Linked DNA regions of Canis lupus familiaris. The protein of the gene in region 1 interacts with the protein of each later gene in a biochemical or structural test. Links are inferred from orthologs where the notes say so. Each region holds a gene or a part of one and is shown in the gene's direction. Other genes may lie near its edges.

What was found.
Region 2: of the proteins of MBP (region 1) and PRKCZ, one has a biochemical effect on the other in vitro, tested with the Homo sapiens proteins (2 studies listed by BioGRID). The link is inferred for Canis lupus familiaris from reciprocal best matches to the Homo sapiens genes MBP and PRKCZ.

What each region holds. Positions count from the first base shown.
Region 1 is NC_049222.1:2,911,252-2,914,811, forward strand, and holds part of MBP (myelin basic protein), read left to right. Parts: intron 1-1,829; coding exon 1,830-1,937; intron 1,938-3,560. UniProt on the Homo sapiens protein: The classic group of MBP isoforms (isoform 4-isoform 14) are with PLP the most abundant protein components of the myelin membrane in the CNS. They have a role in both its formation and stabilization.
Region 2 is NC_049226.1:57,486,936-57,491,177, forward strand, and holds the start of PRKCZ (protein kinase C zeta type), read left to right. Parts: upstream 1-1,431; 5' UTR 1,432-1,496; coding exon 1,497-1,567; intron 1,568-1,728; exon of another isoform or gene 1,729-1,867; intron 1,868-3,064; exon of another isoform or gene 3,065-3,079; coding exon of another isoform or gene 3,080-3,141; intron 3,142-3,777; coding exon 3,778-3,899; intron 3,900-4,242. UniProt on the Homo sapiens protein: Calcium- and diacylglycerol-independent serine/threonine-protein kinase that functions in phosphatidylinositol 3-kinase (PI3K) pathway and mitogen-activated protein (MAP) kinase cascade, and is involved in NF-kappa-B activation, mitogenic signaling, cell proliferation, cell polarity, inflammatory response and maintenance of long-term potentiation (LTP).

The sequences.
Region 1 (3,560 bases):
GTCCTTAATCCTTATGCTCACTCCTTCACCGGAGGAAAGCATACAAGGCTGGTGCGCTGATTGAAGGGGATTGGCCAGTGAAGCCCGACAGTTGGAAATTCAGTGAAAGACAAGAATGTGGAGGAAAAAGCAGATTATGCAGGTCCCTGCAGCATCGGCAGTGAGTGAGTGACAAGGAGGCTCGGGGGTTCCCCAGTAACGGAACCCCTGGCTCCCTCCCACCACCCACCGGTCCAGGCAGCAGCACTTGAAGGGTGAGCTGGGCACAGAAAGTCCCACGGAAGCAGGAGCCGAGTTGCACCGAGGCTGGCAGGGCACAGGTGACCTCATCCCCAACACAGGGAGGGGCCACGCCACTCAGGGCAAACATGTGGCAAGTAGTATAGACCTGAGTGGGCAGTGGGTTCTCCGTGGGCTGTCAGCTGGAGCAATGGCATCCATTTGGTGAAACAGAAGCAGCAGTGGTTGGTGGTTGGTGGCTGGTGGCCAGTGGCCGGTGGTCAGTGGCCAGAGGGAAGAAGGAAGAGGTCACCCACGTTTGCACATGTGTCTGGACTCAGAGAAGGAGCTCACCCAGCTTTGGTTTTAATGTCGGTCGCAGAGAGGGGAACGGATACACTGATGTGTGTCAAAGACAGAAAATTCGTTCATCAAAGCAACAGTGATGGCTGGGTCTCGGGCCTGGGGGTTTGAGGCAGGACCGTGGGCATTTGGGGACAGCCATAAATGCCACCCACTGGGTGCAAGACACCTGTCACTCCAACCACAGTCCAGCCGAGGCTGGAGCTATCTCAGGTGACGTGAGGCCCACCGAAGGCGCTCACCTCTGCAGAAGCACCCTTCAGACTTCTTGGTGGCCAAGTGTCTCCTGAAGAAGGGCTTCCTCTGGCACAACACGCACAGAGCTGCTAGTGGACAGGAACCAGGGAGGGCCGTCAGTGCAGGTGACTGATCCGCTCTAACAGAAAGGGCCCTCTGACCTTCGGGAACCTTGACTCACATTCCTGCCCGCTTGTGTCACTGGGCGAGCAGGAGGAAAGCCCCAGGGTCAGCTCCACAAGCTCTCACCAGGCCCTGGTGCCTTTGCTTGGAAGGCTCTTCGGAGTGGACCCCATCTCCATGGAGGCTGCTCGGGGTGCCTGTCCCCAGTGGTCAGACTCCTGTGTGGGTGACAGTTGGCCCACGGGGGTGGAGGCCATGGAGGCCGCTGCTCTGTGAACCTCACTCTTGCCCACCACGTTCCATGTCATCTCCACAGCTGGGAGGCGCCAGGCCCCAAACCCCTCCCCCGTCCTTCCCCCCTGCTCACGATGTGGGAGTGGTCATCCCAACTGGGCAGACACCACTGCCACTGTGACCTGGGATGCTGATTTTGAGACACAGAGGCTAGCTCACGTGTTGAACCCTCCAAAGCTCATGGCAGGTTTTTTTGGACTTTTTTTTGCTATTATGTTTTACATGTAATTCCTAAGTATTTTCCTTCATTCACAGCAGAAGCTCAGGAAAATAACAGCTTTCTCTCACTGCTTACTGACCCTGCGCCCGGCTTAGGTGGGCTCACCCTTGAATTCCCTTCTCTCCCCCTGTGCTGTTGCTTACGGGACTTGGAAGCAGCCCGATGCTGGCTCCAGGGTGGAGATGCTTCCAATGCATCGCAGCTTCACCCCCAGATGTGCTGCCCCAGGAATGTCCTGAGTCATGTCCGCCATGTCCCAGCATAAATCCTGATCCAAAAGAATCCAGATCCCCAGGACAGAAGACAGGCAGCTTCCCCAGGGAGGCCAGAGCAGAGGATAGGAGGCCTAAGGTCATCGCGCCCTCTCTTCCAGGATGGACATCACGCAGCGAGAACTGCCCACTATGGCTCCCTGCCCCAGAAGTCCCAGCATGGCCGGCCCCAAGACGAAAACCCCGTAGTGCATTTCTTCAAGAACATTGTAAGTGCTCCCATCCCCCTGTGAGCACCGGGCAGCAGGGAGAATCAAGACTGCAGGGGTCAGGGGCTGCCTGGCCACTGCCTCATCCACTGGGGAGCTAAGTCTATCCCCATGACCCTGTCTCTATCCACAAGGGGGCCTGAGTCTATCCCCAGATGACCCTGAACACTAACGATGAGGGACCTGAATCTATCCCCAGATGACCCTGAGCTCTAATCTATGGGGACCTGAGTCTATCCTCAGATGACCCTGAGCTCTAACCATGAGGGACCTGAGTCTATCCCCAGGTGATCCTGAACTCTAATCTATGGGGACCTGAGTCTATCCCCAGATGACCCTGAACACTAACAATGAGGGACCTGAATCTATCTCCAGATGACCCTGAGCTCTAATCCATGGGGAGCTAAGTCTATCCCCAGATGACCCTGAGTCTAATCCATGGGGACCTGAGTCTATCCCCAGATGATCCTGACTCTAACCCATGAAGGACCTGAGTCTAAGGATTGTCAAAGACAGAAGATTCATTCATTGAAGCAACAGTGATGGCTGGGTCTCAGGCCTGGGGGTTTGAGGCAGGACTGTGGGCATTTGGGGACAGCCATAAATGCCACCCATCTGTGGGAGCCGGGTGCAAGGCACCTGTCACTCCAACCACAGCCCAGCCGAGGCTGGAGCTACCTCAGGTGACATGAGGCCCACCGAAGGCCCTCATCTCTGCAGAAGTACCCTTCAGACTTCTTGGTGGCCAAGTGTCTCCTGAAGAAGGGGACACTTCTTGTTCCTCTGGCACAACACGCACAGAACTGCTGTTAGGAGTCAGGGAGGGACCTGAGTCTATCCCCAGATGATCCTGAGCACTAACCATGAGGGACCTGAATCTATCCCCAGATGATCCTGAGCTCTAATCCACGGGGACCTGTGTCTATCCCAGATGATCTGACTCTCACCCATGAGGGACCTGAGTCTATCCCAGATGATCCTGACTCTAGGCAATGGGGAGCTGAGTCTATCCCCAGATGATCCTGAGCTCTAACCCATGAGGGACCTGAGTCTGTCCCCAGATGACCCTGACTCTAACCCATGAGGGACCTAAGTCTGTCCCCAGATGACCCTGAGCTCTAATCAGTGAGGACCTGAGTCTATCCCCAACGATGCGTCCCTCCTGCTCAGGGTGAGGTTGGTCATGGGAGCTCAACTCTAGCACCTGGTCACAAGGTCCACACTGCATCTGCCACTTGCTGAATTTTATGTTCTAGCAAAGAACTCACTCCTTTGAGACTAAAGTACTATGAGGTGCTTAGTTTAAAAATGCAGGCTTTGCAAAACTATGGATACAAAAACATCAAAGAGATAAAAAGTTTAGTGGTTGTCAGAGTTTAGGGGCAGAGGAGATGAAAGGCAGAGCACAGAGGGATTTTCAGTCAGGGAAGGACTCTGCGATACTGAGCTGGTGGACACATGTCATTGCACATGTGTCCAAACCCACAGAACGCACAACGTGAGAGGGAACCTTACCGTGCATGATGAGCTTCACCTAATACACCCATGTTGGTTTGGGTTCATGGTCTGTAACAGAGGAGCCAGGCTGATGCCAGGCTGTAGTAAGTAGGGAACAGTGTGCAG
Region 2 (4,242 bases), on another chromosome or scaffold:
CACCCCAGAGCCTAGTACCAAGGAGGTACCAGGAAGCCTCCGTGGAATGGGAGTGTGAGTACCCAGTACCAGAAGCCTGTCCAGGTGAGGAGTGAAGGCTTGGCGGGCCTGGAGTCCCAGGTCAGAGGTTGCCCCCTGGGTGGTGTGGGGAAGGGGAGGAGGGGGCTTGGCGGGGAGGAGCGAGTGCAGACCCGAATCTGGGGTGCCCACGTGGTGCCCAGGTGAGGTCCTACAAACAAACGCCGGTGTGGGCCACGTGGAGGCAACCAGGCAGCGACACGACCGCTGAGGAGCGGGCAGGGAGGGTGTTCAGAGGCGCTAATCCGGATCAAGTGCAGCAGTTATGACGACCCACGGAGGTGTGGACTCAAAAATGAAGATCGTGGGGCAGCCCGGGTGGCTCAGCGGTTTAGCGCCACCTTCGGCCCAGGGCCTGATCCTGGGGACCCGGGATCGAGTCCCACGTCGGGCTCCCTGCATGGAACCTGCTTCTCTCTCTGCCTGTGTCTCTGCCTCTCTCTCTCTCTCTCTCTCTCTCTCTGTCTCTCATGAGTAAATAAATAAAATCTTAAAACAAAAAACAAAACAAAAATGAAGATCGTGGGCGACGTGGGCAAACGCAGGGTCCTCGTCCCGGCCAAAGAGTCAACCGGAGCAGAGGCAACCGCCAGCTAGTGTAGACAGCGGGATCTTGGGTTCGGCACGGGGAGGAGGGCGGCCGGGGCCAGGGAACCAGCGGGGCCGGACCGTCCTCGTGACGCTGGCTCCGCGGCTCAAACCTCTCGGACTCGAGCTCGCCCCGGGTCCCGCAGCGCGCGTCCGCGCGGACTGCCGGAGTTTCGGTTGCGTGAGTCTGGGATGGGGCAGTCCCCACGGCCCGCCTTCGCAGCGGGCTCCCGGGCGCGGCGGCGGAGGGGCCCCCCCGGGGAGCGCGGCCCCGGGAGCCCACCTCGCCGAGGGGCCAGAGCGCGGGGCCCGCAGCGCGCCGCCTCCCGTTGCCGGGCAGAGCCGGGCCGCGCGCGCTTCCATTGGCCGCAGGTGGGCCGCGCCCCGCCCGACAGGTAGACCGCCCCGCGCCGAGCCATTGGGTCGCGGCCGCGGGGACCCCCGGGGATTGGCCCAGGTGGCGGCCCCGCCTCGCCCTCATTGGCCGCAGGTGCCACCGCCCCCGCCCCGGGACCGCCCGTCCCGCCGATTGGCCGCCCGCCGGGCCCCGGGTCGGCCATATTCGGACCCTCCGCACCCCCCGCCCCCGGGCCTGGCGCCGGGAGTCCGTGCGCTCCCGTCGCGCGCCCCCGCGGGCCGAGCCCCCCGCCCGCCCGCCGTCCAGGTTCCGCGGAGGTGGCCGGCCCCGCGCCCTGGGGCCCCGCGCCGCGCGCGCCCTTCCGCGTTCCGCCGCCGGCCCCATCCTGGCGCCCCGGCCGGCCGCCGGGTGCCCATGGCCCGCGCGCTGACGGCTGACGGCTGACGGCTGACCGCGGCCGGCCGAGCGCGCCATGCCCAGCAGGACCGGCCCCAAGATGCACGGGAGCGGCTGCCGCGTCCGCCTGAAGGCGCACCACAGCGGGTGAGCGCGCCCGCCGTCGGGGCCCGAGCGGCCGCCGCTGCGCGCGGGAGGGAGGGGGCGCCCCGGGCGGGCGGGGTCGCCGGTGGGGGCCGCGCCGGGCCCTCGCTCCCCGGGTCCGTGCGGCGCTGGCGCGGCGCTGCCACTGCCTCTGCGAAGGTGGCCGGACGTGAAGGCCACGGACCTGTGAGCACTGAAGTTTTTGTCACATGAAAACCGCCGGCCGAGCTGTAAAAATCCGGGTTTCCTAGGCGTTTCCCAGTTTACCCGGCCGGAGGGCTCGGCGGCACGATCCCGGGGAAGGTGAGGGGCACCGGGCAGCCCGCGGGCGCGCCCACTGGGGCGGGGCGGGGCGGGGCGGGGGCCCCCTAAGTCCCTAGGCGCCGCTCTGTTGGAGCCGATCTTTCGGACTCTGATCCGCTCCGCGCCCGCGCGGCGCCCTGGACTCGATGTGCCCGCGGTAAAATGGGGCGAGCGGGCACCGCTCAGGGGTCAGAGGCCGGGCGCGCCGGGCCACGCCCGGGAGCGCGCACCCTCCGCCGCCGCGGGGCAGCCCTGCTGGTGGTGCGGGGGGTGGCGCGGCGCCCGCGGCCCGGCCGGGATCCGGCCTCAGCCCCCAGCGCTCGGGGGCAGCGGAAACCCTGCTGCTGCGGCTGCTTGACGCCCGTGGTCTCCCCAGAGGTGCGCCTCCTGCTGCATCCTCCAGATTGAGGAGGAGCCTGGGGCTCTTGACTCGGTGAGGGCACCTCTTTTGGGGTCTCAGGTCACACCTGTCCTGTGCCTTCTGCCATGGTCATCTGGGTCACCTGGCAGAGTGGGTGACAGGGCTCTGGGGAGGAGTGATTTCTGGGGGGACCGTGGCCAGCCCACCTGAAGAGGTCTGCCTGTGGACTCATGCAGGGCCAGAACAGGTTGGCTCTCTGGCTGGTGAACCCGGTGGAAAGCCTGTCCCCATATCTGACAGTCCTCTTCCCAGCCAGGAACTGTGGGATTGAGCAATAAGCCACTTTGTGAAAAATCAGAGTTGGTCCTCAGGGTGAGGAAGTCCACACCCCAGCCGCTTGGCCCGGGGTGGGTGGAGATGGGACCCCCCACCCCCCAGCCCCCCAGCCTGCCCCCAGGCTGGGCTCAAGGAAGCAGTGTCAGGCACTGGGTGGAGGGGTGGGGGCAGGCAAAGTGGACTGGAGCCTGGGAGTTCTGGAGGGAGCCTGCTGCCCCCAGCCCTGCCCCCTACTTTGGCCCCTGGAGAGTGCTTTGGTTACTGCCAGTAATGTGACCTGTTGGGTTTGGTTCCTGGGCTGATGAGGCGTCCACTCATCCTGTTCTCTTCCTCATCCCCTCCCTCTTCCTCCTCCTCCTCCCACACTCTTCCTTTCTCCCTTGGTGGTAGGTAGTACCTGGACTGTACTGAGGTTCCTGCCTTACCCCTGCTCCCCACTCCCTCCTGCTGCCCCTGCCCTGGTCCCTCCCCCAAGGGGCTCACTTATCCAGGCCTCCAGGGTCCTGGTACTCCGGATGGACTATGCTGCCGCCTGGCTGCTGGGAGGTTGTTTTGGACAGCGGGGCCACAACAGAAGGTCAGACCCATTGAAGATGTCATTGTTAAAAATAGGGAGCCCCCAAGTTGGCCTTTGGAGGATGTGCCGTCACCAGGGTCTGAGTGGGGTCCAAGCAGGATGCAGCAGTACCGTGTTTTGAGGGTATTTCCAGGTAATGAATGTACCATGGAGGTGGAGACCCTGCTTTGCCAGATTGAGTCTCAGCCCTTGTCTAACTAAGCTCACAGAAACAACCACATGGGGGTCTTCCTCTTTCCAGCTCCAGTCTGGTCTGCTGTTCACACCATCAGCTTTGGGGGAAGGTCTGATGAAGCCAGTGGGCTTGAACTGGACGCACTGTCCACCCCACCTGTACCCCTCCTATGTGACCTTTTGAGTGGAATTTGAACTTGATGCCTGAGCAAGTGCTTGCCCGGCTTCCACAGTCCATGCTTTCTGATACCCCCACTTCTCCATCTAGGCACATCTAGGCACAGGATAGATCTTTCCTTTCTGTGCTGGGGCATCCATGAGACTGGTCAGTAGTTCTGTTGAGAGGCCTGTAATATTTTGTTTGCGAGAATTTTCATTTATGTAACCAATAACTCAATCAGTAGTATTTAATTTGATTTAAATGTGCTCCTTGGTGAAGCATGTCCATCCTCTTTGCCCTAGGGACATCCTGATCACCAGCCTAGATGCAGCAATGACCTTCGAGGAGCTCTGTGATGAAGTGCGAGAGATGTGCAGTCTCCGTCAGGGGCACCCGCTCACCCTTAAGTGGGTGGACAATGAAGGTAGGCCTGGGTCATGTGTCTGTCAGACTATAAATCTCTAAATCTTCTGTGTGGATGAAGTGAGATCAGCCCCCTTAAAATGATGGCATTAAGCTAGTTAACACCTGTCTTTGGGGTCAGGATGCTGGAAATCACTTATTGGAGTGGTTACTGGAAAGGAAGCTGTGTTTTCGGGGGTCGGGAGGGAGGAGAGTCCCCTGCAGGGCAGATGGGGAAGGGGCGGCAGAGGTCTCCCGGTCCCCCTGGGACCAGCTCTGGCCATCTTTCCCTGTTCTTCCGTTCTGTCCTGGGCTTTCCAGTGGCTGATTTGGAAGGATAAGTCTTTCTTATTTTCATCTTGTCA